Linked DNA regions of Styela clava. The main gene of each other region encodes a partner of the protein of the gene in region 4 in a complex. Links are inferred from orthologs where the notes say so. Each region holds a gene or a part of one and is shown on either strand. Other genes may lie near its edges.

Region 1 (7,383 bases), on a different chromosome or scaffold from region 4:
TTTTACGTTTGTTTTCTTCTTCTACCTTCTGAGAAAGTTGAAAGAAGAAATATAGTAGTAGACTTAGTTGTGTAGTGTAGACTCATTTATTTACTAAATCTGCCTGACCTGCGCTGCTATTCTCTTGATATCCAACTTTGTTTCTTCTATTTTTTGCTGAATTGACTTTATCGTACTCATTCGCACTCTTCGTTCAAGATATTTTTTCGCACTATGAATGAAAAATCCACGTCGTTAATGAATAATAAGCACAAATTTTGAACCAACCACATTTTTCAATGATTTTCAACTTACAGTGAAACCCCCCATTCATGTAAAGTCTTGAACTTTTGAGCATTTTCGCATTTTTGTTGTTCTATTTTGAAAAAAAATGGTAGCGATTATATTTACTGTAACATATATTCGCGAGATATAATAACATGTTAAAGTCGTCGTGTTATCAGCAATACAGTAGCTTGTCACAATCATAAAAACGTTCTATATTGCTGGCCACGCCACAAGCTTTGTCGACTCTGGTATTTGGAAATTCGAGGATGATGTAAAAAAACAGTATATGGATGGTCATTTGGGGAGTGTTTTATAAAATATATAGTTCGGAGATCGTGTATTTTCTGATCCCGCAATGGCGCAAACAAGATAGATTTTCATATGAAATTGACATATTATATGAAAAATTTGTGATTACCGAAATCTTTTCTAGATAACGTTTATTCAGTAACCTATAACAAATGCTGAATTACCGGGAAACAAAGATCGGGTTAATAAGTTATTTCAAAACATCCCATCGTAAAATATTATTCAAATAATTACTTATTCAAATTTGAATGAATGAAATAATATTATAATTCTCTTTCCTGCTCTCAGCTGCTCCAATGAAACAATTTCACCGTCAATAATATCAATTTCTTTCAAAACATCAGCCTTTTTTATTTCCATTCTCCGCGTTTCGTCTTGCAATTGCATTAGCTCCGATGCACCCGGAAACGACTTGTAAATTCTTTTATAATTTTCAAGCTTTTCCTCCTGTCCATTTATCTTTTGTTCAAGTTCCAATCTTAAAAATATCCAATACATAATTACGTAAATTAGTATTATTCAATTTTATTGTCTTAACTAAAGGTTTGATCTTAACAAGTGTTCTGCTCTCCATTCCGGGCTCAAAGTATACCTCTGAAGTAACCAAAACCACGGATATTGTGAAAGAAATTTCAATTAATATTGTGAAAGAAATTTCACAATTGGTATTCATTTATTTAAAAATCGTTTGTATTGAAGTCAGAGATGAAACTCAGATCGGGTCATTTCCTACAAACTCTCTTGCAAATATGATTTCATTAGACCGATGCGTATGCGGACCGATGACCGGATGAGCGCAACTTTCAGTGAGGAGCGAATAAAGTGATGTACATAAATATGGCAACGCGACTTTTATCATAAATAGAAATTTGATAACGCAACATCCACAATTTCGAAAAATATTGTAACTGCTAAATGTGTTAAAGTAAATTGTATTCAACATGATGTTATCTATACGGCTATGACTTATTTATGCTTCATTGTCAATAAAATCGAAAATTCCTTCAGGGATGTCCGCGCCTTATAGGCTGTTAGTCCGCTTCTTAACGTTGTATTACAACTTATGGATGCAATTTATTAGGAGACGTTTTTTAGAAAATTTCACAAATGCATCTCAGAAACCTTTGCCTATCACCTTTTAATACGACTACTACAATTTATATATTTAAGGCATAAACGAATTAGGAAGGGTGGAAAATTGAACTGCGTGATGATAATAAAATGTGATCAAAAAACAAATATATATTAACAGAAACTTCCCTATAATTTTCTAAATATATGTGTGTACAGTATATCATTAGCGAAGATATTGGTTTCTGATCCACCAACCAAACAATTCTATTCCTTCAACTTTATATCGGGTCACATATTCTTAAAGTAACAAAGCGAACCTTCTTTTGGCCTTTTCCTCTACTATTTTCTGCAGCTCTTCAGCTTTTGCATTTGTATGTTCATCCAAGAGTCTATCATTTTCCTTTATCCTTCAAAATATAAAAAGAAACACTTTTTGTATATTTTCTGGTTTATAAAGTTTCTCAAATATTGGTCTCATCCATCCACTCCATCCAGGTTAATAGTAATTAATCGTTTTTTGATCATTTGAGAAAATATATCATTGGTTCTGTACTCAGTAACAAAGTCTTTTTGACAAATTCTCTATTCTGCAGGTGGGTATGATTTAGTTAAGTCTTATGACTCATGTTAACATTCTCTTATCAACGGGAGCAAATAGTTCCGTAATTTAGGGAAGTAAAACGCAATGAATTTCTTCAATACTGTAAACAACTGTTATGGTCATTTTGTACGCGTAATACCAATATTTATAACAGTACGCAACCTTTCGAGAGTTCGTTTCTGATTCACATAAACTTCGTGCATTTGTTTCACAGCCTCATCAAGCTCTCTTGTTTTATCTTGAAATATATGAATCCTCTCTCTTTTACTCCACAATTCTTCCCGAAAACCTAAACAAGTGGGAAAAATTCAATCAATGTCTCGTCAACGGAGAAACCGATTTGGCTCATACGTTGGTAAGTAGGAAAAGTTCAAGCCAAAAGTATCAATTTTGACAATGTTAGCAGCTTGTTAATTTGAGCTCCGATCTGCAAACTATTGAACTAAATGTGCATTTCATACCAAAACCCGACAAGACATTGCGTCTATTCTAACGTGCCTTGTTGGCCCTTCCCAGGATAAAATTGACGGCCACATCCGACGTAATCGACTTAGATATAAATTATAGAAAGGAAGAAAACTTTCGAAGCCCGCAAATTTTGAGTCAAAGGAATTAGATTAGACTATTTCGAAGATACCGGTAGTGTTAGACTTACTTTTTATTATTTCTTCTTCCTTTTTTATTTTTCGTCGCTTTTCCTGTACATCTGCATTGAGCTCATTTAAAAACTTTTGCAACGCGGAAGGAGCACCGCTACCTGAAAACATAGCCATGGCTTTTATAAAAGTGAATTAGCAAGTAGGCAACTCCTACGACGACGTCAATGAATGGTGTCTATAATCATTATGACATCCTATACGTAACAATGACCATTTAGCAATAAATCAACTTCGTCGTAACAATGCCAATTTGTGCAGTCGCTCATAGACACTTCTTTCGCTCAGACTGATATTCAAGCAGGGTTGGTTGAGAATTTTTCAAGCGTCAGGGAAACGTCCATGAACCTTTCCCCCAGCATCGACTTCCTCGTTTACTTCGTGACATTGGCCAATCAGCGAATTGCAAAAAGTGACGTAACAATGCTCCCTTTTCGCATCCGCTCAGACACTTTTCTCACTCATACAGATTTTCAATCGTGGTCGTAAACATTACCTAGTTTTCGCATTTTTGAACTCTATTGGTTAGTTTTCAGTTGTGTTTTGGAAACTTAAATGTAAATCAGATAATTCAATGGTCACCCTGTCTTCCTAGGAGTTTTAATTTAATTGCAGTTATAAAAATTAGTGTAGAAATAGCTGTGATAGACTAGGCTAAAATTATTCAACGGTACTTTTAAAAAACAGATTGTTGTATGCGATGAATCATAATGATGGTTTGAAACACATACCCCATTTCACAGGCGCCAACTCGCAAAAGCACTCTTAAAATAGCCTCAAAAAATTTCCTCTCTCCCGGGATAAAAATTTGCAAATCCTAATCTACCTTCCTTGTGACTAATGTATATTAACCATTTTTTCACATTCCACCTTTGAAAACAGCACTGCGTCATAGGGTGTCACAGCTCTACACATAGGGTGTCATGGCGGTGTGGCTCATCGTACCAAGCGTTAGGATTCATAAACCTCAATATTAGGAATACGCTCGCCACCGCACATGGATGGTTATGTGCGAGAGGATTGCTGGACTCCTCGCCGTCGTAGGGTGGTTCACGTAACCGCTGGTCGGTTACGGCTTCCTCCACCACCAAGTCCGTGCTTCCGAAAAAAAAATAACTAACTAATCCCATACCCGACATGGAATAATACGGTAACTGGACGTGGCCGTGGTTCGCCATATGGTCAAGCCGTCTTATCGACTTTCCTCTCTCAGGATAAATATTTAAATCCTATCATAAATCACCCCTGTAGTTTTCTGTCAATCCCTTCACTCGTGAGTAATGATTGTTCATATGTATGTTTGATTTGCACATGGTGATGAATGAATACTAGATGCAGTAGTATTCATTCATCACCATGTGCAAATCAAACATACATATGAACAATCATTACTCACGAGTGAAGGGATTGACAGAAAACTACAGGGGTGATTTAGGAACCGGATTTGAATCCGAACGCCAACAATCCCTTACAAATCAATGAAGCATAGTGTCGTATATAAATACTTTTGAACAATTTTCGTTTCCAAGTACGCCATCGTTCTGTCCGTCGACTCAGGAGGAAGTTTTTAGGCATTCATAAATCAAGGTAAAATCAGTATACCAGAATTCTTTGAAGTATTGGAAGAAATATTTGAAAATTATCAAATAACAAAAGACATGAAATTGGGATATACTACTTTAATTTATAAAAAGGGAGAACCAGACCAAATAGAAAATTACAGACCAATAGCATTATTGAATACAGACTATAAGATCTTTACAAAAATATTGGCAAATAGGTTAAAAAGTGTATTACCTGACATCATAGATAGACATCAGTATGCAATTCCGGGAAGAAGAATATCTGAAAATCTCATTTTGTTGAGGGATTTATGTACTCAAGAACATAATAAACATGGAGAATCGAATCGATAGAGGAATTCGTCAAGGAGATCCGTTAAGTTTATTTTTATTTATCATAGCAATTGAACCTCTCCTAATTAAAATTAATTCCCATAAAGAAATTATTGGCTTAAAAATACCACACAACAGAGAAATTAAACACATTAGTTATGCAGACGATGTCACATTGACTCTATGTAACAAAAGCTCTGTATATTCTGCAATGGATTTGATGACAAGATTCAAATTAGCAACTGGAATGAAGTTGAACATAGAGAAGACTAAACTTTTAAAATTAGGAATATGGAGCAATCCTAATTTTTTTTCACAAGTACCTGTTGTCTTGACTTTAAACATACTTGGAGTGGTGGTTTCAAATCATGATACCTGCGATGAAAACTGGCAATACTGTTTAGATAATGCAAAAACTGTCATAGATGAACTTTCAAATATTCCATTATCATTAGATGGTAAATGTCTGATAATAAAATTGAAAATTCTACCTTTGTTTTTATACTGTGCAAGATTATATCCCATCCCATTAAAAATTGCAAAACAAGTGAATGTTTATATTTAACAAGAAAAGTTTATATTTAATGGCAGAAACATATTGAAAATTGAGACACTGTGCAAAAACAAGGCTGTTGGAGGCTATGACATGATAAATATTCCTTTACTATGTGTTTATATGTAATGACTGCATTCGACTATTATTGTGATAGGATTAGTAACAAAATTGAGTATTGTAGACAATCAGCATTCAATATTATTGAATATAATATTGGACAACAACTTTGTTTATTACTTAATATACCGATTAATAATAATGTGACACATGCTTTTTTTCCTTATAAATATTATGGAGAGTTGCTTAATTTTCTTAGACAATATAACATAACCGGGGATGATTTAAAACAAGGAAAACATAGGGTACTATATAATAAAATTGTGAATAAATTGAAGGGCGGAAACAGAATTGTATTTCTTCGTAATGGTACAATTGAAGGAGCCTGCTCTGAAATACATTGTAAGATATTGTCCAATAACATAAAAACTTTCAATTTTAAATTAATGTGGGATATTCTTTCTGTTAAAGTAAAGCCCAGAATTAAACATATTTCTGGGAATGATTTATGTGTGTTTTGCACACAAGAACCTGAGTTTGTTTCTCATTTATTTTGGAAATGTCCTTTTACGCAAAATGTTTTTGATTATATTTTTTCTGTTGCATTAAAAATCAATCATTGTGTACTGAATAATAATTACATGACTTGTATTTTACTAGATTTAACTCACCTATGTTATTCACATTTGTCCAAAATAGAACGGAATGCTATAATATTATTATTTTGCACTGCCAGACACAAAATTTGGCTTGAAAGGAATACAGTAATTTTTCAAAAAGTTAATCCAAATGTTAGCAATGTAATCATGAGAATTAAGAAGTCACTTATAGCAAGAAGAAATATAGAAAAGTTGAGACAATATCCTAATTTTACAAGAGAACTAGATATCATTTATAATAACTTGTGAATTTTTAACGATGTGATATATAGTATCAAAACTAATAGATATTAAAATTTTTTTTTAATAATTAATACTAAAAAATATAAATAATGATCAAACATTATGGATTATGGAAATTACATGATGGACATATCAATGGCAATGGGATACTATGGACAATACAATCAATGGACTGTAATGAAATGCTTTGTTATTTTTGTATACTTGTTGTTGTTGTTGTTGTTCATATATTATTTTATGATTTTTATATATTGCATAAACCACATTGTGGAATCATAAAAAAAAAAAAAAAAAAAAAAAAAAAAAAAGTATACCTTTGTGAGTTTTGTTCATAATACCAGGCATTCATAAATCAAGGTAAAATCAGTATACCTTTGTGAGTTTTGTTCATAATACCGGGCAGGCCAACAGCGCAAGCTTGTGATTTGCAGGGCTACGTTAGGAATTCACAACTCATACTATTTTCAAATTTTGGCCAGTATGCATGGTATGGCCATTCAGCGATTGGCGACCATGGATCAGATTCCTGAATTCCGTGTCTGTCCTGCTTGGGAATGATCATTAGTAACTGGATAGACTCAACTGATTCAGGGTATTAAATATTACTGTATTATTTCTTATCTTCAATTGCAAATACAGAAATTAAAACTGCAAAAAATATTTTTACAGCCCTCTAAACTGTTAAAGCTTTTTTGAACACTACAGAACTAAGTCTGCAAGTCAACGTTGGTAGGCTGAATTTCTTGCTTTTGGACATAATTTGAAAGATATTTGGGAAGAAAATTTGTAGGCTTTTATAATAACAGAATGACCACTGATCAGACCAGACAAATTTTTGAACAACTTTTAAAAGATACAGGAAGGTAACTACATTTTCATTCTATAGAGTTAATGGCTGCCTTCTTTGTCAGCATCATTATTTCTCAGCTACTAATCCATTCATTTGTTATATCTTTAGGCAGTTAGGGTACATCTATGCCTCTGGCAAACTTGTGATGTTATAGTCTAGTTATTTTTCGACGGCATTGACTAATAAATTATATTTCATTCATTTATTCTGTTTATT
Region 2 (7,251 bases), on a different chromosome or scaffold from region 4:
TAGTTGAAGAGGAGAGAAATGGACTTAAGCTTACGGGGTTTCCTGTTAGTCACGGTGTGGTTAAGGGAACCGCAAGAGTGGCTTTATCTTTGGAACATGCGAATCAAATTAAGGTGGGCAATGGTATTTCTTTTTACCAACAATTCTTGAAATCAATTTTTGTACACATGTATATCCTGGTTATCCAAAAAAACATGAAAGTGTGGTTCTAGGAAAACCATTTTAATGAGTCAAAGCACACATATCCTAACCAAATTTCCTCCATACGTTTTTTATTTTATATATAATAAACTCAGATGTCTTTGATGTAAACAATTGCATGCTCGCATTTATGCCATAAGGCATAAATTATTATATGTGCTGGTATTGGTAATACTCCTGCTTATGTACGTAGTAATATTTGCGTTTGAATTCGCATTTCTCGTTACCGCCCATGAATATCCCAATTTGTGTTTAGCACCCTACCCAATTATAATAGCCCATTTATACTCTACCAAGAGGTCTTGAGTCTTAGTTAACATGTGATTTTTTCTACCTACAGCAAGGTGATATTCTGATTGTGAGGACAACAGATGTTGGATGGAGTCCGTATTTTCCATTGATATCAGGATTAGTGACAGAAATCGGAGGTTTGATATCACATGGCGCTGTCGTCGCCAGAGAATATGGACTGCCGTGTGTTGTCAGTGCAAAGAAAGCAACAATTCTTTTCAAAACGGGTACCATCTTATATACTCAAATTATACCATAAACAGTGCCATTTTCAAATTTAATATATATATACGAGGTGCGACTAAAATGAAACGGGACTGACGTCACAGATTGCGCAACACGATTAACCATCGGTAATCAACACTTTTGCAGTGTGGCGTAACATGTGTTCTTTGTTTAACGGCTGTTTTGACACAATATCGCAATTATTTTTGCTTTTCAGGATCCATAAGTGAATGTGATAAATTGCTTGTCGAAAAAAATGCTGTGCGAGGTCTGATTGAGTTTTTTGGCGATAGGGGGTTCAATTGCAGAATGACGATTGAGCAAAGAATTAACATTAAATTGTGTGTCAAACTTGGAAAAATGCATGTCAAATCGGCATGCATTCAATCGTTGAGCTTTCGGCTCCTCAGTCAACTCAAGAGCCTTGGCATCATTTTGGCACACACCTTTCGCATTCCCAAAGTGTCAACCAAAATGGTGCGGACCGTTTCTTTGTCCATCGCAACTTCTTTGGCAATGACGCGAATTGTTAAGCGACGGTCACTGCGAACCAACTGCCGAACCTTTTTGATGTTGGTATCAGTTGTGGAAGTGCAGGGCCTCCCTGACTTTGGATCATTCTCAACATCTTCCCTGCCTTCCACAAATCGCTTGTGCCACTTAAAAACTCTGGATATGGAAAAATCTCCATAAACATCACGCAACATCTTCAAAGTCTCATCCGCCGTTTTTTCCGAGTTTGACACAAAATTTAATGTTAATTCTTCGCTCAATCGTCATTCTGCAATTGAACCCCCTATCGCCAAAAAACTCAATCAGATCTCGCAAAGCAATTTTTTTCAACAAGCAATTAATCACATTCACCTATGGCTCCTAAAAAGCAAAAATAATTGCGATATTGTGTCAAAACAGCTGTTGAACAAAGAACACATATTACGCCACACTGTAAAAGTGCTGATTACCGGTGGTAAATCATGTTGCGCAATCTGTGACGTCAGTCCCGTTTCCTTTTAGCCGCACCTCGTATATATATGAAAAATGCTTTTCTATTTAGCAAAATTTCTTAAAATCAACCTGTTTACTAGTTATATGATTTTACAGGGTCAATTTTTCTAGAAAACAATTAAAATGGTATATATGGGTAATTTTTGAGTAGAATAATAATAATATTACCTAATCGAGTATACAATAAAAAGTGATATTCGACTATTTCAAATTGTAATGCCGTAGAAAATGTATATTAATGTGGCAATTCATATATTTTTAGAAAAATTAATTTTTGCATTGAACCACATCCGGGGTATATATACTAGTGCAGGAAAAAACACTTAATAACGAAAAATAAAAGCATTTACTGTATTATATTACCCAATTAAGTGCTTTTGATGAAAATACTGTTTTTGTTTTTAGGAGATTATATCATGATCGACGGCGGGAAAGGAATCATTCAGAAATTGTCTTCGGAATAATATTTTATTTTTAACAACGTCTATATGGGAAATTCAACCTCAATCCGTGATTTTTAATGACCTTGTATTTTGATTACCGTTTTGATGCAATTTTGCCTTATACTCCACTGTCTCCTATTTGATAATTGTACTTTTATCAGCAATCGTGTGATATCACTAATTTTCTGTTATATATAGAATAAATAAATATAAGTTTCATTTCTGACACCAACGTCTCTGTATAGTATATTTATACGGCGTCCTACCTAATATTAGCATATGGGATATCAGTATTTCGTTTGTTAAAATCACACCTCAGTCGATGTGACAGGTCCCAAAAAGCTGAAGAATCGGCTGTTACACACACACTTATATATATATATCTAAAGGAGCAGATCGGAAATTGAGGGGTGTCTTGCGAATGCAGACCAGAAAAATGAGTCAGATTACCTTCATTGTATTTCAATCATTTATTGGGATCCCAAACAAACTGGAATTTTTGCTAATTTGATTTCTCAATTGCTTCGTGTCTCAAATCGGCCGGTTCAGCCCGGGAAAATATCGCAATAACTGAAATCTACCTTATTTTAGCATGGCATTGCAGAATTAAATTTGATCTATTCTGTATTATATATTGTGTTCGACTATGGATTATTAAGAATTCATATTATATAAGAGAATTATCAGACAGGCATTGTGACAAAACTAGGAGATTCTGGAACATATTTTTTGACATCACAAAGCGATAGAGCCGAGGAGTAATAGAATGAAGCTTTTCGTCCGTTCGTACATACTAGTTACAGTATTTGTCATATTTAAATCGGACTAGCATAGCTAGTTTTTGAAATACTAAGGAGATGCCTAAACCAAAAAGGGTGATGGCTGATGAGTATCGTAGATTTCAACTTGTGCTGCATGTGAGCAGCCGTTCAAAGCCCGCAGAGACAACATGCAGCATCACAATTCACAAGTCACATTGAATGTATATTGGCATTGTAGCCTATGTGTTGACTTTTGAGTAAAAATTTCAGGCCTGATTAAGTGAAAAATGCTATATGACTCGCACGGAAATGCAGTGAAAATATGTACCTTTTATGGCTCTCTTGACTGAAAAAGTTCCCGACCCCTGCTCTACAAGCAGGAGTCGCAGTTCTTACTACTTCATGGCAGCTCCTGCCACGAACGAACCGCGGCGTTTCTTGCCATGGTTTTATGGCGCTATTCAGTAATCAGTATTATCGGTATATTCACGAAGTCATGTACCAGATTATAGTTTATCATGCAGAATTATATCTACCTAAACCTGAAATCCAACCCCAAATTCATCAAAACTGTATTCATAAAAAAAATGTTCCAACTTACCCGATATATGTCACCATCAGGGGTAGCCCTGCCATTACAGCCGACATGACTTGATTACGGAAGCAATATTTTACCCGCCATTGGTTTTCAATTTGCTGCCGTGGTACCGGCATCTCGCCATTGGTTTGTGGCAGCTAAAAAGTCAGAAGCCGTGGTTTGGCCATACCGGCCATTGTTTGGAAATCCCACCATGGTTATTCGGCAGCTTCAGACGCCACAAAATACTTGAAACTGCACTTGACAAGAAGCCTTGAACGTCTAGGACGGTGGCAATTTGTGCTCCTGATATTCTTGAAATTGGCACTGAAACGCTAGCGATCATGAATCTATCGAATTTTTTGTGGGAGTGCACCTTCTTCATAATCCGGAAAAGTGCTCTGCTGATATACCTGGTACTTTAATCAACACTCGGTTTTTGCGTTTTTGCATTACAACTAACGTTCCGCACAACTGAATAGATACGTGTGATATACAAATCACTTTCAATTAATAGGAAAGGAAATGAATTTTTAAAAATGCATATCAAGAGATAACTTGAAAATAAAACAGATTTAAATTGAGTGCGTTTAGAGCAGCGACTCCGCTCAGACTGAAGACACGTTTTGGCTAGGGAATCAAGTACCGTCAAAAGATCCTCTTATTTATACTAATAGAACATGACATTTTATAGACATAGAAACATCTGGTAACATAGAAATAGCTTTGCTCTTAAAAACGAGTTTTATATAATTTCCACTTTTTCACGTGGACTGGCAGTTTATCTATTTTTGCAGGAATAATTTTCCACGGTTGATAACATGTTTTACGCCGTATAAAAATTGGGAAAATTGAAACCTTTCTTTACTTTTTTACGACCAAAAGATCACCTCGCCAAATCTATTTGACCCGGGCCACTCGACCGCTTGATATATTATGTAGAGATGTGTCAATCAAAACACTTATCGTGCCTGGGATTCGACAAAACTGTTTAAAGCAAGGTGGACAGTACCAGTATTTCTGTAACCAGCTTTCAGGACATACCGTAGTTATTCGTGTTATTCGATTTTGAATTATTTGGTGCAACTGATATTTAACCTCACAACACATGGACAAATCTTATGAAGTAGATACTGGTGGTGCAACATATCGTTCGGGAGACCCCATTAAAAATTTTCGTCTCAGGTCAGTATTTCATCCTTTATTTTCTTGTAATTCCTCTTGCTATTCTATTACCAATGTATCATTAATAGTGTTTATTTATTGAACTCATTTATTCATCATTACGACGTCACAGTGACGTAATAGAGCCCTTCAAACTATACGAACTGCCATCCAAGACGAGCACCCGAAATCGGAGGCGCAGTTCTTACCACTTCATGGCAGCTCCTGCCACGAACGAACCGCGGCAGCTCTTGCCATGGTTTTATAGCGCTATTCAGTAATCAGTATTAACGGTATATTCACAAAATAATGTACCAGATTTTAATTGATCATGTGGAATTATATCTACTTAAACCCTAACCCTAACCCCAAATCAATCAAAACTGTATCCATCAGAAAAACGTTCCAACTTACCCTATATTTGTCACCATAATAGACAGCCTTGTCTTTACGGCCCACCTGCCGCGGTTACGGCAGCAAAATTTTACCTGTCATTGGTTTTCAATTTGCTGCCGCGGTAACGGCAGCTCGACATTGGTTTGTGGCAGCTAAAAAGTCAGTTGCCATGAGTTTGGCCGTAGCGGCCATGGTATGGAAATACCGACATGGTTTTGCGGCAGCTGCAGATGCCACAGAATACTTAAAACTGCACTTGCGAAATCGAACAGTTATTTCTCTCGTTTTCTCGTCGCAACGATTTCAATAGGAGAGAGACCGATAACGTCAGTCAGTTCTTTATCGTCGGCGCCAATGCCATTTCGGTCGATCATGCGTATATTTGGCAAGCTCTATGACGTGATTTTGATGTCGTAGTGATTTAATTTTTGGATGGCGTAGTCAGATGGGGGTTAGGATTGACATATCAAAAAATTGTTATGCTACACCCACTAGAAGTACGTTAGGTACGAAACTACACGAGACCCGGTATTTCAGTCTTCTATAATTATGCAATAGTAATTTCAATATAGATCTAGTTCTTACTTGATTGAGCCAATCTGATAATTTTATATTATATTCCACCCAACTCCAGAGGGTAAAAACAGAATTATTTATCCTAAATATATTTTCAATATTGTTTTGATAATTATTATAACTGAAATTACCTTAAAGAGACAGAGTATCAAATTTGGCGTTATCACAATCCCAACATTTTAACCATTAAAAAATCCTACACTAGTTAGACAAAAGCGAGACATGGTTAAGCTTAGTTTCGATAAGATTTACTGATTGGTTTACACTTCATCTTATAATAGATCACATACTTCATCTGATTAATAGTTCATTTTGTAAGTACCAACTAGCCTCTTACTCTATTTCCTAAGCAAGCGATTTCCAAAATTTTTGTTCTTGCTATGCCAAATTGTCAGGGAAAAAACTCATTTCATGACTTACACGAAAACGAAATTGCTGCCTTTGAATAAAACATAATTTTGTGATCGTTATTGTGTATTTTATGCTTTTCGGAGTTTGTAAACGTGAAAAGAATAAAGGCAATATCAACAAAACAACATAACATTTGTACTTATTTATCTAATGAGAGATGTGCGGCTTCTTCTCTGAACATATCTCTTCAAATATTCAATCATATATTTGTTTAACATAATTTTGTTAATTTTTCTGGCGCACTTAGCAAATGCCACCTTTGGGAGCCGCTGTTCTATGCTATGCCATAATTTAATTTATAGCATTTACAAAAAACCTTGAGGTAAGCAAGCAATCAATTAACTCTGTAAATAGGATTTTCACTATAATTAAACTGTGCTTCATATCAGTGAAATTTATATTCAAGTGCACATATATGATGCTTATTAGGCTATACTGAATGAGGAAAAGTTTATTGGTAATTAGTTCACAGTTTTTAGTGAGTCGAGTTGATCATTTTTGGAGAATGTCCGACAATAGTTTTAGATCTTATTATTTATGTCATTTACTACCTACTCATTTACAAGCTGTCTAAGAAAAATATGCATTCCTAAATATTGGATTGAATCCGAAGTCCTAAATGTGTCTCTTATGACCAAGATCTTGTTTGTTTTTTGTCTTCTATGTATATTGATTTACTTTATTCCGATTATTTTCTAAATATTTTTATGTATTATCACAATGCTCCTGAGCTTAACACAGAGTATAGTCTCGTTTTTTCACTTACCTATTCCATGTCACAAGGTGGCATTGCTTATGTAGTACTTTAAGTCTCATGTTTTCAATCTCATTTGAGGTTTTCATAACTTTTAAGTATTTCAATCCAGTGTTTTCGTCTTGTGTATTGTAATTATTTTGTACCATGGTGGATTTCAAAAAAAATTATTATCTTATCGAAAAATAATTTAAATTTGACCTTCGAATATTCATCCATTGATATTATACCCTGTAAGATTATCATCATTATTTTCATCTTTTATTGCTATTACAATTGGAAACCTATCAGAAATTTAGTCAACAATTTTTTCTATTTATAATATATTTTGTAACTGATGGAAAATACCTACCCGCTTTAGGGAAATCAATATAACTAAATTAAGAAGTTTAACTTGTTTTGCAGTATCAATCTCCAACGTGTCAGTCCAGCAATTCTAGGATTTCT
Region 3 (7,926 bases), on a different chromosome or scaffold from region 4:
GGGAAAAATCCATCATAAAACACTCATTATTTGAAGTTAAAATATGTGTGTTCAATTTATGTTTTCATACCGACCTTACAATTTCAGGGTGGTATCGTTCACCAGATATCTTTTTTGCCGAAAGTTTTAGTTCCTCAATCAAAAATTTTCGTTGATATGGCTGTATGGTGTAAGTTGATTCTGATTTTTGAGATAAATCATTACCTATTAGTCAATTCATATCCTTGCTTACTGCTACACGGCATAAATCCTCACACTACAACTTTTTTATGATTCCTTTCTTCCTGAAAATATACATATTAGGTTACTACATAATATCTTGATTTCTTATCAAAATTTACATTCCTCGACAAATCATTTCTGTATTGGCTACCTAGGACATTCACAACTTACTCTTTTTATGCTTAACAATCGTAGCACAAAGTGATTCTCTACTACATCTACTCATTGGAGCCTTGAAGCGAATTTGAAATCTTCAGATCTTACTGTCATTTGTCAACATGCTTTTAAGTGCTAGGACCGGTTCTAGGGCCTTCCCTCTCAAATGATTGCTCTTCTATTTTGTTTTGTAATCTGCATTCTATAATAAAATCTTTATTAAAGTTGATGCACAATTAATTTGAATATTTATAAAGCCACTCACTTAATCTTGTCGTGAGATAACGCCGTCAGAACACAGAAAAACGCACGATGATTTTGGAAGCAATAATCTGTCTGCGCCTAGTCGGGCGTGACGGCGAATCCAACATCGGGACAAATATCGGAAGTTACACGGGGTTGGTCAAACCAGAGACAATGCATCTTTGGTCAAACCGTTCAATTTAGATTTTCACCAGTCGTTGATTTGCACTGAGCAATGACATTAAACAACATGATGCGCAACTCCGGCATTTTTGTCCGAAGATCGTATTCGATAGCACGCTCCAATGCACATACTTGACGAGACGAAAACGAGCGGATGTGTGCTGCTTTCAAGGCGTAGCACGAATGGTGTTCGTGCCTGTTTTGACAGTTGTTGTCGATTTTAATGATATTTTTGAAAGTTGGGGTAAAAAGAGATCGGTAAAAGGTAAGGTGAATACTATTGTTGTATATCACACCCGGGCATCGCACTGTTAAGTACATGTGGGAAAGCCAGCCTTTGTCAAATACTACGAAGTTATTAATTCAGTACGCTACGTAGTTGCCCATTTGCCGAAATTACATATTTACTTACCCCTTATGGTTTCAAATAGTTCATGCACCTCCAGTTAGATTTTTTAATCAGTGAGGATATATACTCATTGTTGATTGCTGCTCATTGTAACATACTATTACGCATTCACTTTTATTTGCGTATTGAATCAAAGTGTTAACAAGTTCACCTAACATTTCACTCATACCGGTCTATGTTGTATAGTCTGATTTCTCAAGTATTTGGAGCCACGAATGCTTGTAATTTTCTGACTAAACCCTTTTATTAGTTGGTTTATATACCAAATTCAGTAAAATATTTTTTAAATAAAACATAAGATATTGGATTTATTAGCTTTTCCATTCTGAATCATATAGACTGCTTTATTTATTCCTAACGAAAATTAATAAATCTCCTCTCTTTCTTCAGATGTGAAAGTTGTGGACAAACCTGTCTAAGCATTGTGAGACTCTTGCAGCACAAGAGGCAATAGCAGAAATAGTAAGTATATCAATCAAGAAATTAAGCCGACATAAAGCAAAACTTTCAACTATTCGTCTAATTTCAAATTCCTATTATTTATTCACAGGACAACTATAGCAGACGGGGAGATATCAGAAGTCTGGCGACATATCAGTGACAGTGTGATTCCAAGAAATATAATGGATTTGAAAATAGAAAATTGCAATAGAAAAACAACCTATGGAGGCATGCAAAGACATTTGACCCTCCGGTAGAGTTGTGTATGGCCCCCACATCCTGCAGGGCTTGAGGAAAATAACTAAAAATTCCAAAGCGTAAGATTGCATAAGCGGTCTTATTTGTAAAAAGGCACAAAACACGCCAGACATACTTAAAACAGCTTTGGAAATGAGGATTACGGGTACCTCACTGCACCTGTGTTATATTTGGTTCATCAACTTTTGGTAGTACTATAGAAGAAATTCCGGAAGGGGTATAATCATCATTCATGATAAAATACTATCATATATTTTTTGAACAACTTCAATCTAGACCAGGGATCTCAAACTCGCGGCCCCAGAGAACTTCCAGTGCGGCCCTCGAACGTTTAACAATAATTGTAATAGTATTTTGGAAGTTTTTTTATTTTTATCTAAATGTAATAGATTTTTCAAACCTTCTAAAGTGAAATTGATTATTCACACAGAAAACAATTTACTGAAAGTAGTTTTGGAATATTGATTTTTTTTTGTCCACATTTTGACCCAATCAAGAATACACATCAAGCTAGCAAAAGAATACTTGAATAAAACACTTGAGTAATTAAATTAAACGCAAAGTACATGAAAAAGGTGGCATTTTCGAAGAAAATGGGAGTTGTAACATTTCTGCTCTTCACAAAATTCTGAAGCACATTGTTTAATTTGTCATATTTCCATCAATACAATCAAAAAACACAATAAGCTAAGCAGTCAATATGACAAATTCGAAGACCAACTTCGAACAGAAAATTTCCATGTGTTTGTATATTAATATAATTATACAACGACTTAGTTACTAAAAATCAATATCAATAACAATTCAAGCAATCCTATGCCACGCAATGTAGTGCGAAATGTCTTGTCGAAAAAATCTGTCATTTGTTTTTTTACTGATCTATACATGAAATGATAAAAGTAACTTTTTTGCATTACTGGAATTAATTAAACATTCGTAAAGATCCAGATAAATCCATGATCATGTGGCCTCGTTAGTTAGAGTTGGTACTATAAAATCATTTCAGACTGGCCTTAGTATGCTGGTGACACAAAAAAGATGCCAAACGCCAGGACAAATGTAATTATTAAAACATTGAGTTTATACTGTAGTATTTTTGTTAATTTTAGGTTCATATATTTAGATTAAGTTATTTTTAGTGTATGTATTATTCTTTCCTTATTCAAAGCTTGTTCAAAAATGATTTTGATGGTTGTACATAGAATTTTACGATTTTTTATAATAAATACTGTAACTTGCAAATGTTGCAATAATAGTGGAATGCAAATATTAATATGTAATTGCATTTGAAATTGAAGAAAATAATAAAACTTAATCCAACTGTTTAGTTGCATCACAAAATATGTCACAAACTAACACTATCTTAAAAATATCTTTTAAGTATACATTATCAAAAACTGTTTGCGGCTCTTTTTACAATTTTCAAAATGCAATGCGGCTCTCGAAAACCCATGAGTTTGACACCACTGATAGACGATTCAAGCATTGCTTTGGGAAATTATATCACTTCAATTAAATTGAAATAATCTCGCTATATTAAATACAAAATCGTTGCTATCATAAAGGTAAACCAATTCAGCCACTCGAAATATACTGGCCTTCACAAAGCAATGGAGGCAAAATTGAGAGTTCATGAGCTATGAACATTTGTTCTTTTCTTTGTCTTGAACTTTCCATACTCCACAGCCCCTATTAATTTTTTTTAATTTTAATTATCATGTGATGGTCATACATATCTTTAATTTGTATTTTCTGTCATGATGTATTATCTCAATGTGCCAAACTATTAATTAGTGTGCATATTTTGCTTCCAGATGACATAAATGTATTGTCATGTTTATTACCTCAGCTTGGAGTATTGACAAGAAAAAGGTGCCAGTAAATTAGGTAAAAAAATTTTCAACTCATTGTTATAATCAGAATTCACAATCAATAGGAATTATAAACAGCCAACAATCAGTGAGAATTATATGCGAAATCCCTCAGAATAAATTTGTCTAAAATCGGAGGAAGGCAAAAAATATAGGTAGTTTCCATCCACACAAGCATTTCAAGAAGACTTGCTCGAGCCAAACTAAATGAGCATCGTCAGGTGATCGGTAAGGCTGCAAGTTGAATTCAGCCCTGCAACCTCCTGCATAGAAGATAATATTAATTAGTGGGCTATGAGCTAAATTCCTAAATTTAAACAAACCTATCTACGATGCATTATGTACCAGCAATGTTACCTACGATTAACTGAATATGTAATATGTCTAATAAATTCACCTACAAATGCAAGTTCGATAGGTGCAAACTTTGTGTTATGGAATTGTATCGCAGCACAGTTTTGTATGAAATTTCAATGATTAAGCGCAAACATTAAAATTACTAACTTTGAACTTTGTCATTATCTGCAAAATGTTCCACACTAATCTTTCCGCTATCGCGTTTGTAATCTTCTCTGATAAAAAAAAACGTCTATGATGTCCAGAATTGCTATTTACAGCTTGCCTGTTATTCCAGCTTTCCAAGTAAGCAAAACTTCTTAGATATAGAGATTATTTTGTTTCGTTACAGGCGCAAAAAGGCAGGTACTATACGTAAAAAAGACGCCGAGTAGCAAGAGCGAGCGGAAAACGGACGCGAAAGGCGACGAGAAATATGTGCATTGGAGCGTATCATGAAATACAATGTTTTGCCTGTAGTCTTATGGAGTGACGTCAGAGTTGCCCATCATGTTGTTTAATGTCATTGCACTGAGTAATGAGATATATATTCTCATTGCACTGTGACGGTCATTCAACAGCGGTTTCGGGCATTAAATTGAGTCTGTAAACTGGGTTTCATCATTGAGTTCTTAGTTGTGAAACGTCGTTTTAGTAGGTAGCAGAAAGGCAAAAAGAGTCGAGCAAAAATGTTGTTCGTTGGGTCAAGGATAGGATAGGTCAAAGGTTAAAAAAACATCAAATAGAATCCCAGGTCAGGTCTCAGCTTTATTTATGCATGAGTTGGTGCTCGGCGACGGGACGCTTCGTGTTGTCAGATTTTTCAAATTCTTTTAACCAATTGATTTAATGTATTAACAGTTTTCTTTTGGAAAATTTAATTTGACATGTAAATTTTGTATGCAAAGATGGATGGTATAAGTTATAACTATAAGTGTAACTTAGAACACAAAGACAGATAGTTCATTTCGAAAACTCCATGTTACACATAGCAGCATAGCTTGGAAATGGAGACCTCTGGAGAGCGAACAGAACTTTAAAACATGAGAAATATTATGTGCCTGCTCACCAGCACACACGCAAAAAGATTACAAAAACACAAACTTACAAGGATTAGGCCAGAAATAAATAAACAATCTATTTCAATGTATATCTATATACAATCAATGAAGTTATACCTCATTCCCTAATTAAAGCCAGTTATTACTAAATTATAGTTGAGGAACCGCCGCAGTTTATAGATTATTTTTAAAACTCCAGAATACATACACACAAATTAAATTGGAGAATTCTGGGAAGCTACGAAAAATTCTAACGTTATATTCTGATATATTATTCTATATTAAGTTTAAAACATAAGAAATATCATGTGCCTGTTAATTAACATATAAGTTTACAATGAATCAAGAAAAGGTACTCGCTGCATTTGGGAATAATTGGAAGCCTATTTTATATCAGTGTATAGAAATATTGAAATTTTCAACTTCCCAAAAATAAATTGTCAGCTTGACTTTGTGTCCAATAGAAGAATACAGTACGGTATATTGTCAAATTAGTTAACTTGATTTTTTGTTATTCAAATAATTATCTCTTCATTCGATTCAACCACAAGAAATTAAATACCCGTAACTAATCATTCTTTACTTTTTAAATGAAGGAAAAGTGCGTACTCCTCACATAAATATTTTCTGGAGGATTTAAAACCCCTTATTTTCCAGTCATCTGAATGTAGAAGATTTTGACCAATTTACAAGTAGAATTTTTTAAAACTTGGATTTTTAATAATGTCACTCAGTGAACCCCGTTCGCTTCCTCCTCGAGCATTGCCTCCACTAACCGCTGGTGCTTCACATGTTGGTGATGGATCACAAGTGCCGACTCCTCGAAAGAAAACCAGACCACCTACCAGCGGAGCAGACAATTCACCCGGTACAGGTTCGAAACGACCTGTAACGAAAACGAGACGCCGAAGAAGTCCAAGACAACAGGATGGAATCGAAACAGGATCTTTACAACCATCTTCAGCAGCGGCCAGTGTAGCTGATGAAACTCAAATGAGTGAAGGAAGGTTAGTGTGAATCATGTACAGACTAATAGATAAGATTAGGAATTTTCTTTCTTAACAAAATGTTTTATACCTTTAGATCACATTAATTAAAGGCAAAATTAATGCTGTCCACAATGGTCATTTGTATACAAGATGTTTAAGACCTCTGACAGAATAATGGTTTTCAGATGAACAGAAATCTTTCACTAGGGTCTGTTTATTTTGAGCGCTGTAACATGTCAAACTGTTGTATTTGAATAATACAGTCTTGTCTAGTGAGCTACGAGTATGTGTACTCCACGTACAGACGTATTAGAGTTCTGGGTCTAATCTGCAAGCTGAAGTACACTTTCTGTTTGGCACTGTCTACTCTATACAACTTATTACATTCTCAGTGAGGTTTGAGCCAAGGATCTATAACCTGTGATGCCTACGTAGTCATGTTCTCACCACCAGTATTCTCATCCAATAGTAAATTTAGTTCTATGAAGTGAAAGGACACCTCGTTTAAAAATTATGATTTCTCTTATGTTTAGTGGACCTTCTTCCACAGCAAAGCCCAGGACAAAAAGAAGAAGAAAACCAGCTGGTGCTAATCAGAGTCCTGGTGGAACAGGAGAAGTATCCACTGGAAATACAGTTTCAGCATTGCTACAAGATGAAGATGTAGTAAATGTTGAGAAAATTGAAGATGCTATAGTAATGACAAACCTTCCTGGTGTTGCCGGTGAGTATATATCTTTCATAACTGTCATAGATATTCATCTAGTTCAATCAAATGTAAACAGATTTTAAGAAAACCTCATTTTTTCTGCGCAAACAAGATTAGTTTATTACACAAGCATTTACTCTATTATTGTGGTATTTGAACTTACAAAATCTTGTATAAAAACCTGTTAAAGCCAGTGGAAACCGTCCTTGGTAATTTTTCCAGTGTTAAAAATGCTGATTTTTTGAATAGCTGGATCAGGTGGAAGTGCGGCAACTGACAAAGTCTATGTACAAACTACCAATGGATTTGCAACACACAATCAAGATTGGTTGAATGACCGTTTTATGAAAAGTATGGGAAGCGAAGCACAAATGACATATGGAGAGGCAACAATGAAACCGTCCAATGTGAGGATTGATAGGATAGGATTTACATATATACCTCGGGGCGGTTACGTGAACCGCCCTATGGCGGCGAGTAGTCCAGCAGTCTTCTCGCACATAACTGTCACTGCATGGGATTCGAACCCACGTAGGATAATCAGAGGTGCGGTGGCGAGCGTATTCTGAACGCTTAGCACGATGCGCCACACTGCCGAGCCTATCCTGCCACCGCTGATCTTGTGGAGTAGAAGTTTTTAGTCTGAACCACTTAAAGTTTAGATTTTTTTCAGTGGCTTGCCTAGAAACCCAATGGGGGGGTGTTTAATAGTTAAGAAATTATGACATCATAATATGACCCACTTGGTTTGCTTTTCTAATTCTATTCAGTATATTTTCCAATCAGAAATAATCATTGTATCTGGACTACTTTGGTCACAAATTAGCTAATTAGAAAGAAGCCTTAAAAGCACTGATAAACATCATAAATTCATTTCCAGATTGCCGAGCAAAATGAGAAAGCATTTATGTTCATTACATTATTACTGCATGGTGCACTAGCTGGATTCTCAATATGGCAGGTTGTCATCAGCTATTCCTTGAATGGTTTAGGGGAGCAGAATCTTCTAACTCAGTATCAAGGGTAAGTATTGTGTATTAAAATAGGA
Region 4 (7,709 bases):
CACAATATCGTTTTGAAAGTTTGCCTTTCTTTTTGGGCGGAGTTTGTTCCAATGTATCCTCCACATTACATTCTACATCAGAATCACTTTGCTCTACACACTCGGTTTGCAGGTTTGTGAAGATGACATGAGATTATAAATTGTTTAAAAGATAATGAAGAACTCCTATAACACCCGTAACGATAGTAATTTAATGATTGTTTACCACAAGTGAAGTTCCTGTCAAATGTTTAAGTTCAAACTTGTACTCTTTACAAAAATAAAGTAATCAATTCTAAATCCACTGATATCAGTGGCGTTCTAAAATAGTAGTGTGACACGCTTACATGGCCTTATATTCCAGCACGCCTTGGTTGCCAGTAAATTCCGAGACAACAGTAGTCCAGCCCGGGACACGGGACGCCTGACGTCAATTCCGGGACTGTCCCGGCCATCCCGGGACGGTTGGCAACCCTATTTTACGATGAAGCGCACCTTCTGCTGTTAGGACATGGAAATGAAAGAGTTCAAACGGTGATTACAGAAGATTACGTGGTTGTGCCAGGAAAAATCTGCACATTACTTGAGATATTGAAAGAGGCAACCAGCAGGGGTTCAAGCATGACGAGGCGACCCCCCATATATCAAATCAGACGCTTGTTTTCCTGAGAGAAAAGTCAGCAATGACATCCAGTGGACACCTCAATTATCGGACTGAAACCTCTCAGATTTTGATATGTAGGGTGTTCGAAAGACAATTTGTATCAAGACAATCCTCAAACGATTGCAGAAATAAAATAGAAAAATACCCAAAGAAAAGTGATTGACAATGTTGCAAAATAAATGCAATTCTTTCTTCAATGCCGAGGAAACCATTTGGAACATATTCTAGAAACAACATAATTTTTGTGAAAAACGTCCTAGATTTTCCGACACCTTTGGGTACAAACATACGTAAACAGAAGTTCAAATGTAGACAAAATTAAATAATTCACTCAATTTTCGTAGAAGTAATTGATGGTTCCGTTTTTTGGGGACTACGCTGTATAATACTGTTTTTAATATAAATCAGTTAAATGTGCTGCTTAAGTCACTGTATTTGATAGTTTGAACTTACGAAATACAAATGATAAACCGACATTAAACAGTGTCAGACACAACATGATATAACAAAAGGCTAGATGTTTGCCGTTTGTCGATTTAAGTATTAGGTATGTAGCCTTATTATTCAATGACGCAAGAAATAAAAATTAACCAGTTAAGTCGCAACATGGAGATGGTATTATCTGGCGTACGTCAGTTCAATCGGATGCCCAACTCTCACATGTTGCTCTTAACAAAACCAGAATTAGAACATGGGTGTTGTAGGATACTTACACTACCGCTTGAAAGCACCATAGAACCCGATAGTAAAATGAAGCTATAATTCAATACAGTACAACGAAACGTTAAGTGCATGGTGAAAGAAGCATATGCCGTATGCGCTAGACTGGTATTATTATGAAACAACAATACAGATTTAAAAAAATCATAATACCTATTCTACGTTAAGCGTGAAATTTCCAACACCGGGATCACAAACAAACTAATTTGAACCAAAACATAGGAGTAAATGACATAAAATATCACACTTTTTGTGAGTTCCCGTATTGATGTCAGTGCCCCCCAATCGCCCAGTTTGACAGCCAGCGCCCCCCACTCGCCTAAATCGCCATCAGCGCCTCCCAAGTTATAGCAAACGCCCACAAGAGGACGTTTTTGCCCACTTTGGGGACCGCTGATGTATATTCTCATCAGGTACCGTAATTCCTATCACTTAGACGGCGCACGATGTGCCAACAATTATTTTAACATTTCCCTGCTGACATTCAGGTACCTGATTTTTTATGCATTTATTTATTTTTATCCTGACATTTTGGGTTAGCAGACGACACGGTTTTGATTTTGTAGCCTAGCAACGAAAGTGACACCTAGCGGGCAGTTAATACAAATATAATTGTAAACATTGGAAACAAATTTTAAAATGTTATAGCACAGGCTTGCTTCTCCATAGTTCAATACTGTATTTAGATACTCCGTAGTAAAGAATGATATAAACTTAAAAGAAGGCCGGTATACGCCGATGAAACAATGAGAAAGTTTAGTAGTGCGCAGATCTGCAGATAGACCCACCTTTTTTATTCAAACTTTTCTGGCAAATTTGTTCACATTCAACTGGACATTGACTTGTTTTGTAGTTTTGTCAGTTATAGGCTTATAGCTACCGGTACCGGCAGTTATAAGTATGTTTTCAACAACAAAAATAAGTATAGTTTAAATAAAATCCGTCAGCTCATCCACCATTTTGTCTTCATACTCCTGTACTCAATCAATCAATCATTGTATTTCGGGTCTCTGACTAAAACGGAACAATACAAAAAAGTAAACAGACAACAAATACAGAGATACCTAAAAGAGAGCATAACTTAAAATAAAGTTAAAAAACGTACAAGTACGTGCCCACCCACCAAAAATAAAATAGGAATAATACGAGTAACGTTAAACAAAAAATTTGGACACGATTCAAAATCGGGCAGTGCTTACAACTCAATTTAAAATGATAAAAGCCAAATAATTGCTTGAATCAGTGGATAATTTACATGGAGTAAAATAAGTGTTGCGCTTGAAATAAGACAGCAAAATTCAGGTAGATAAAATTAAGTGTAATAGAATCCCAACGACCTCCTCCGTCTCTGATAGATGTTTCAAATGTTCGTATACGATTATGGTAGCTGAGAAATCACCAGGATTAGCCTTGCAGTACATATATATAAATAAAGCTGATCTCGAATTCTGTAAATTTTGGGTCTGAGATTCCTATATAGCATAGAAATATACAAGTCAAAATCTATGGGAGACATCGCTTGCTGTCAGAAATGAAAAAAATCACCGAAAACCTATCAAATGTGCAAGACAGATAAATAAATACATGGTTGAAAAACAGCATGAAGTTTTGAATAGTGGGAATAAAAGTGGGAATAGAAAGTGACAATAGCTTGAAATAGCTGTGAATACAAATACCAAACAATGCGTGCCAATGTTAGAAGAAAATACCTAGTGACTAGTAACACAAAAAATACACAAAAAAGCTATATACATTGGAACTATTTACCAAAACAATATCCAAACACTGTCAATATTGGCAGGCAACATGGCTGCATGGAGGTGTAGAATCATTTATTAAAACAATAAAAGCAATCTCAATTACACACACAAAGAAATATCATGGGCAGCAGTGAAACATTGATGTTACAGTAGAAAATTCAAATTATGCTGATGTCTTAGGCGGTACATAACCACTTATTGGCAGCAGAAGAGGAAAAAATAGATATTGCCAAAGCTCATAAAAAATACAACATAGATAATTTTGCCATTAAAATAAGATGAACAATTCAAGGCATATTTATCAAAAGTAACACAATACAAACAACCATGTTAAACAGAAAGCACACTTGCAATTGGAAAATTTGTGGGTGTCTTTAAAATTTCCATTCCCTGCCAGCAATGCCCAGCATACTATACTATTCATAGTGAAACTTCTTTAGTCCTTAACTTTGTTATAAAGTGAACAGGACATCCTGAGATATGGTGAAGTGCTGATTAATACCATTCATGAAGTGGCCAAATATAAGTTCAACAGAGTTAAAAAATCAAATTACAGAATTAAACTGGCTTGTGTAGTTATGAGTGGAATATCTGTGGCAAAAAGTCGTACATTTCTTCACAACTCTGTTGTATTCACTTTCCAGCTTTTCCACTTTCAGACTTGTCAGCTGTCTTTTCCAACCCCAGACCCTCCAAATTGCAAAAATAGTTACCAGTATTTAACCAAATTGTGTTGTCCATAACACAGCGATATGTAAAATCGTGTTTGAACAATCAGTTTGATATTTTCAGTACTTGGAGACGGAAGAAGTCGTTAGAAGGATACTCCATTTATTTTTTCTCTAAAATCTACACGGCCTGATTATGATTTAATCAGGATGGGCATAAATAGCTTAATCAGACTACCGGCACTGGTAGTCGGTAATTTTGCCCTTCGGCATGAAAAAGTTTGCCGACCCCAACTCTAAACACTAGAGTTAGACTACTTCGTGTTCATACTGTCACCGCGTACCACTTTAACCTATTCTCTTTCCAACAATTAATTTGCTGGGTGGACTTAGACTCCTGCTGCCATTCAATATTACTCAGGCTTGAGATGTCAATATGTATTAGATATAACTTAAACAGCAAATAATCAAACTGTCATAAAAGTTCAAGTGTTGGTGGTGTCAATTTAGCATTTCATATTTCTGTATTTGATAATAAATTGTCATTGTGTTTATCTATCATATTTCAGTATCGTATTCGACAGACTGGCATATAGCAACAAGATACGCTTCATAAAGCTCCATCTATAGACCATGTGTTACAGACATCCCTTTAAATTTATGAATATGCATCCCCCAGGCCCAGAGTAAAGAAACCTGGAAACACTGTTCTACAGTTCTGAACTATATCCAAGTTATGTCTTAATGTCAGTATGTAGGATAGGATATGAATTACATATTTATCCCCAGAGAGAGAAAAGCCGGTAATATCGCCTATTCGTACTTCGTAGTCAAACTATAGGGTAGTGATACTGAGAGGTCTGTTGAACATCCTATTGAATGTTTATTTTAAATTTGTGATAATATTTTTATGTAGTGTCTCTTATCATCTGTAATTTTTGAAAAGTTGAAACATGGATTCTACTTCGGATACTTTACAAAAAAAGTTGCAAGAAAGACGAAAAGCAATGAATATAACGATGCAAACAACTGATTCAACAGCACTTGATGTTACTACAATCAATAATGATGACAGTGATGGTGATGCTGATATTCCTACTATTGGAGATGAGGAGACAGCATCGACTAGTCGTTTGATTGAGAAACTAGAATCTCGTCATGATGCTACACGTAAAAGACTCCAAACTTCCGAAATGCTTCGTCCTCAATCTGATGTTCGACTTCCTACTTCAAGATTACAAGAATCACCAAGGTCTATCACACCAGCTATGTCACCTGGCCAGTCTCAGGAATTGTCTCGGTAACTTACCTCCGTAAAGTGTACTGAATAGATATGACTTGACAATAATTTCAAATTATCATTGAAGGGCATGACCCCGACTATATTATTGCTTAGGAATATCTAATAATTTAATTCAATGAATATATGGGTAATGCCAATATTAATATTTTTTCCTAATTATTTTTTGCAGTCCCCAATCCGAATTGGAAAGCACATATTATTGCTTAGTTGTATCTAATACCGGTAATTTAATTCCATGAATATGTTGTGTAATGCCAATATTGATAATTTTTCTAATTATTTTTTGCAGTCTCCAATCCGAATTGGAAAGCACATATTATGGCTTAGTTTTATCTAATACCGGTAATTTAATTCAATGAATATGTTGTGTAATGCCAATATTGATAATTTTTCTAATTATTTTTTGCAGTCCCCAATCCGATTTGGAAAGCACATTCAACAGCACATTTGGCACTCGATCTGCTGGAATGTCCTTGCGTGATAGATTGCAAGCCAAGCTTCAGGCGGCTAAACAAAAGCGAGGTATTTCGCATGAGTAACATAAGGTTTATTTACTTTAGCATTAATATTTGGTTATTTGCATCCTTTAAAGCTCTAAAGCTCCTTTGAGTACACCAAAAAGTCAAATTAAAATTGTACATTTATCTAACAGTGAAAAAGGTAATTTAAATTTTCGAATATTACATTATAATTTTTTTGTGACCAATAATAAACACCAGATTACCTTTTTAGGGCATAATAATAATGATAAAAACACTTGGGATGTTACCAATCACACGGGAAAAATGAAACAACAATTTTTTTTTGATAAAACATTGACAAATATAATGATTTATTCACTATTGTATTGTCTTTTTTATCAATGAAAATATATTTCAGAGTTTTCTCAAATGGGCGAAGAGAGAAAAAGAACTCAAAGATTAAAAGAAAGGCTAAGAGACTCGAGCACCAGGTCAGTTGTTGAATTTAGATATGAAATTGCAAAGACTGTTCATTTTCAAAATAAGTTATGGTTATAATTTACGCAACACGTATGGATATCTTGGAAATCTTATTTTCGCATGGATACCGAAGCTCAAATAAACAACTTTCGATTTGTCATATATGAATATGAAAAGATTTTAAATTTTTTTACAGATTTGATGTTGATCCATTGCGTACTCTCAGTCGACCTGATTTAGAAAAGGAGAGAGAATTGGAAACCAGAGTTTTGGCGAAATTGCAATGGAAGAAGGTTCTACAGAAAGCTAGGTATGTTACCAATGTTTTACCTTACTTTTAGTCATGATAATTCTGCTATCTCTTGGATATAAAATGTAAAGTGCTCAGTATCTCATCTTTTCTTCATGCTCAATTGTGAACCGATTATCTATTTTTTTTTTCAAGGTGTTCAGTCAAGGTCTCATCTTTTCTTCATGCTCAATTGTGAACCAATTATTTATTTTTTTTCAAGGAAACAAATCGGTCAACCTAGCGATATTGATTGTTATGATTTTTTCACGAAACAATTTGAAGAAGTAACGGTGCAACCTGAAGTTGAATCTCCTGATGTTGCAACAACAGAAGAACATGCTGAGCAGGTTGCTGAAGAAGAAATAGAACAGGCTCCTGTAGTAGAAGATCAACCTGAAACTGCAGCAGGTTATTTTTTATTTCTTTGTTTCTATATTTATTTTCTACATAAATATTAACTAGAATTACAGTTGTTGCTCAGATGTTATTATCATTAATGCAGCAGTTGTCGGTAATGAAATAAGCTTCATTGAAAATTTATCAAACGACCAGAAAAGCGATGACATATCAGATTTTTAGAAGATCTTCTGGAAAATCTTTAATATTAAAATTTAATCAAGCAATGAAACACTTGAAATTATAACTCATGTACATTGGCTGAAATTAATTTAGTTTGGGTGATATTATAGTGTGTTTGTTGCCTTGTTTATTTAAAAGTTTCATGGCTTGCTATCAGCAGATTCCATTCATTAAATTTCCATTTCTTGACGTGATGACGTCAAAGTTATTCACAAGAAATGGTAAACTCACCAAACATGTGCGCAGCAACCCTAATGGAAGTTTCAATGAAACCCCAACCTCTATACCACTCTTAGATGTTACAAATCTGGAATTAAAATTTATGTCTTGAATTGCAAAGCTGAGACTTAACAGTGAATTCAAATTTCTATTTACACATCAATACTTGACAAATTTCGAAAATTCTGCTAAATTGGGTGGATTCATGCGTTACGTCGCACTAATTGAACTTATGGAAATTGGATCTAGCTGATATAAAATTTGTATTTTGAAATGTCATACAAAAATCTTGTTGTAAAAAAAATTATTAGTTTACACAAAAAAGTATGATTTTTATTTTTTAGGGGTATTTTTAGGATCGAGTTAGGCCCTGGCAAGAAGTCTCAATTGGCTCTTTGAAACGTACAATAGCACGTAAAAATTTTATTCCTGCTTTTTCACTACATATAGACCGCCTCATACTTTTTTATCTCTATATATATATATATACATGTATGAAAAAATTGATCCATATTCTATCATTTGTCAGTGCATTTTCAATCGATTACAATTGCATTGTTAGAACATAATGAAGCATAATGCTA

What was found.
Region 1: coiled-coil and C2 domain-containing protein 2A-like (region 4) and uncharacterized protein LOC120345914 share a complex: the UniProt entries of both Homo sapiens proteins name them as parts of the tectonic-like complex. The link is inferred for Styela clava from reciprocal best matches to the Homo sapiens genes CC2D2A and AHI1.
Region 2: coiled-coil and C2 domain-containing protein 2A-like (region 4) and tectonic-like complex member MKS1 share a complex: the UniProt entries of both Homo sapiens proteins name them as parts of the tectonic-like complex. The link is inferred for Styela clava from reciprocal best matches to the Homo sapiens genes CC2D2A and MKS1.
Region 3: coiled-coil and C2 domain-containing protein 2A-like (region 4) and transmembrane protein 237-like share a complex: the UniProt entries of both Homo sapiens proteins name them as parts of the tectonic-like complex. The link is inferred for Styela clava from reciprocal best matches to the Homo sapiens genes CC2D2A and TMEM237.

The regions. Positions count from the first base shown.
Region 1 is NC_135257.1:13,083,317-13,090,699, reverse strand, and holds the start of uncharacterized protein LOC120345914, read left to right. Parts: upstream 1-4,380; 5' UTR 4,381-4,494; intron 4,495-6,687; exon of another isoform or gene 6,688-6,748; 5' UTR 6,749-6,909; intron 6,910-6,986; 5' UTR 6,987-7,124; coding exon 7,125-7,180; intron 7,181-7,383. Other genes in the region: uncharacterized protein LOC120345286, read right to left, coding at 1-28, 109-211, 295-357, 857-1,054, 1,968-2,057, 2,414-2,540, 2,907-3,024. UniProt on the Homo sapiens protein: Involved in vesicle trafficking and required for ciliogenesis, formation of primary non-motile cilium, and recruitment of RAB8A to the basal body of primary cilium.
Region 2 is NC_135257.1:11,288,070-11,295,320, forward strand, and holds the start of tectonic-like complex member MKS1, read left to right. Parts: upstream 1-4,227; 5' UTR 4,228-4,611; coding exon 4,612-4,688; intron 4,689-7,209; coding exon 7,210-7,251. Other genes in the region: rifampicin phosphotransferase-like, read left to right, coding at 1-113, 542-719, 2,128-2,186. UniProt on the Homo sapiens protein: Component of the tectonic-like complex, a complex localized at the transition zone of primary cilia and acting as a barrier that prevents diffusion of transmembrane proteins between the cilia and plasma membranes.
Region 3 is NC_135253.1:6,409,906-6,417,831, reverse strand, and holds the start of transmembrane protein 237-like, read left to right. Parts: upstream 1-4,925; 5' UTR 4,926-5,903; coding exon 5,904-6,187; intron 6,188-6,702; coding exon 6,703-6,893; intron 6,894-7,127; coding exon 7,128-7,285; intron 7,286-7,758; coding exon 7,759-7,901; intron 7,902-7,926. UniProt on the Homo sapiens protein: Component of the transition zone in primary cilia. Required for ciliogenesis.
Region 4 is NC_135259.1:2,067,094-2,074,802, forward strand, and holds the start of coiled-coil and C2 domain-containing protein 2A-like, read left to right. Parts: upstream 1-4,703; 5' UTR 4,704-4,744; coding exon 4,745-5,091; intron 5,092-5,503; coding exon 5,504-5,616; intron 5,617-5,973; coding exon 5,974-6,046; intron 6,047-6,231; coding exon 6,232-6,345; intron 6,346-6,547; coding exon 6,548-6,735; intron 6,736-7,709. UniProt on the Homo sapiens protein: Component of the tectonic-like complex, a complex localized at the transition zone of primary cilia and acting as a barrier that prevents diffusion of transmembrane proteins between the cilia and plasma membranes.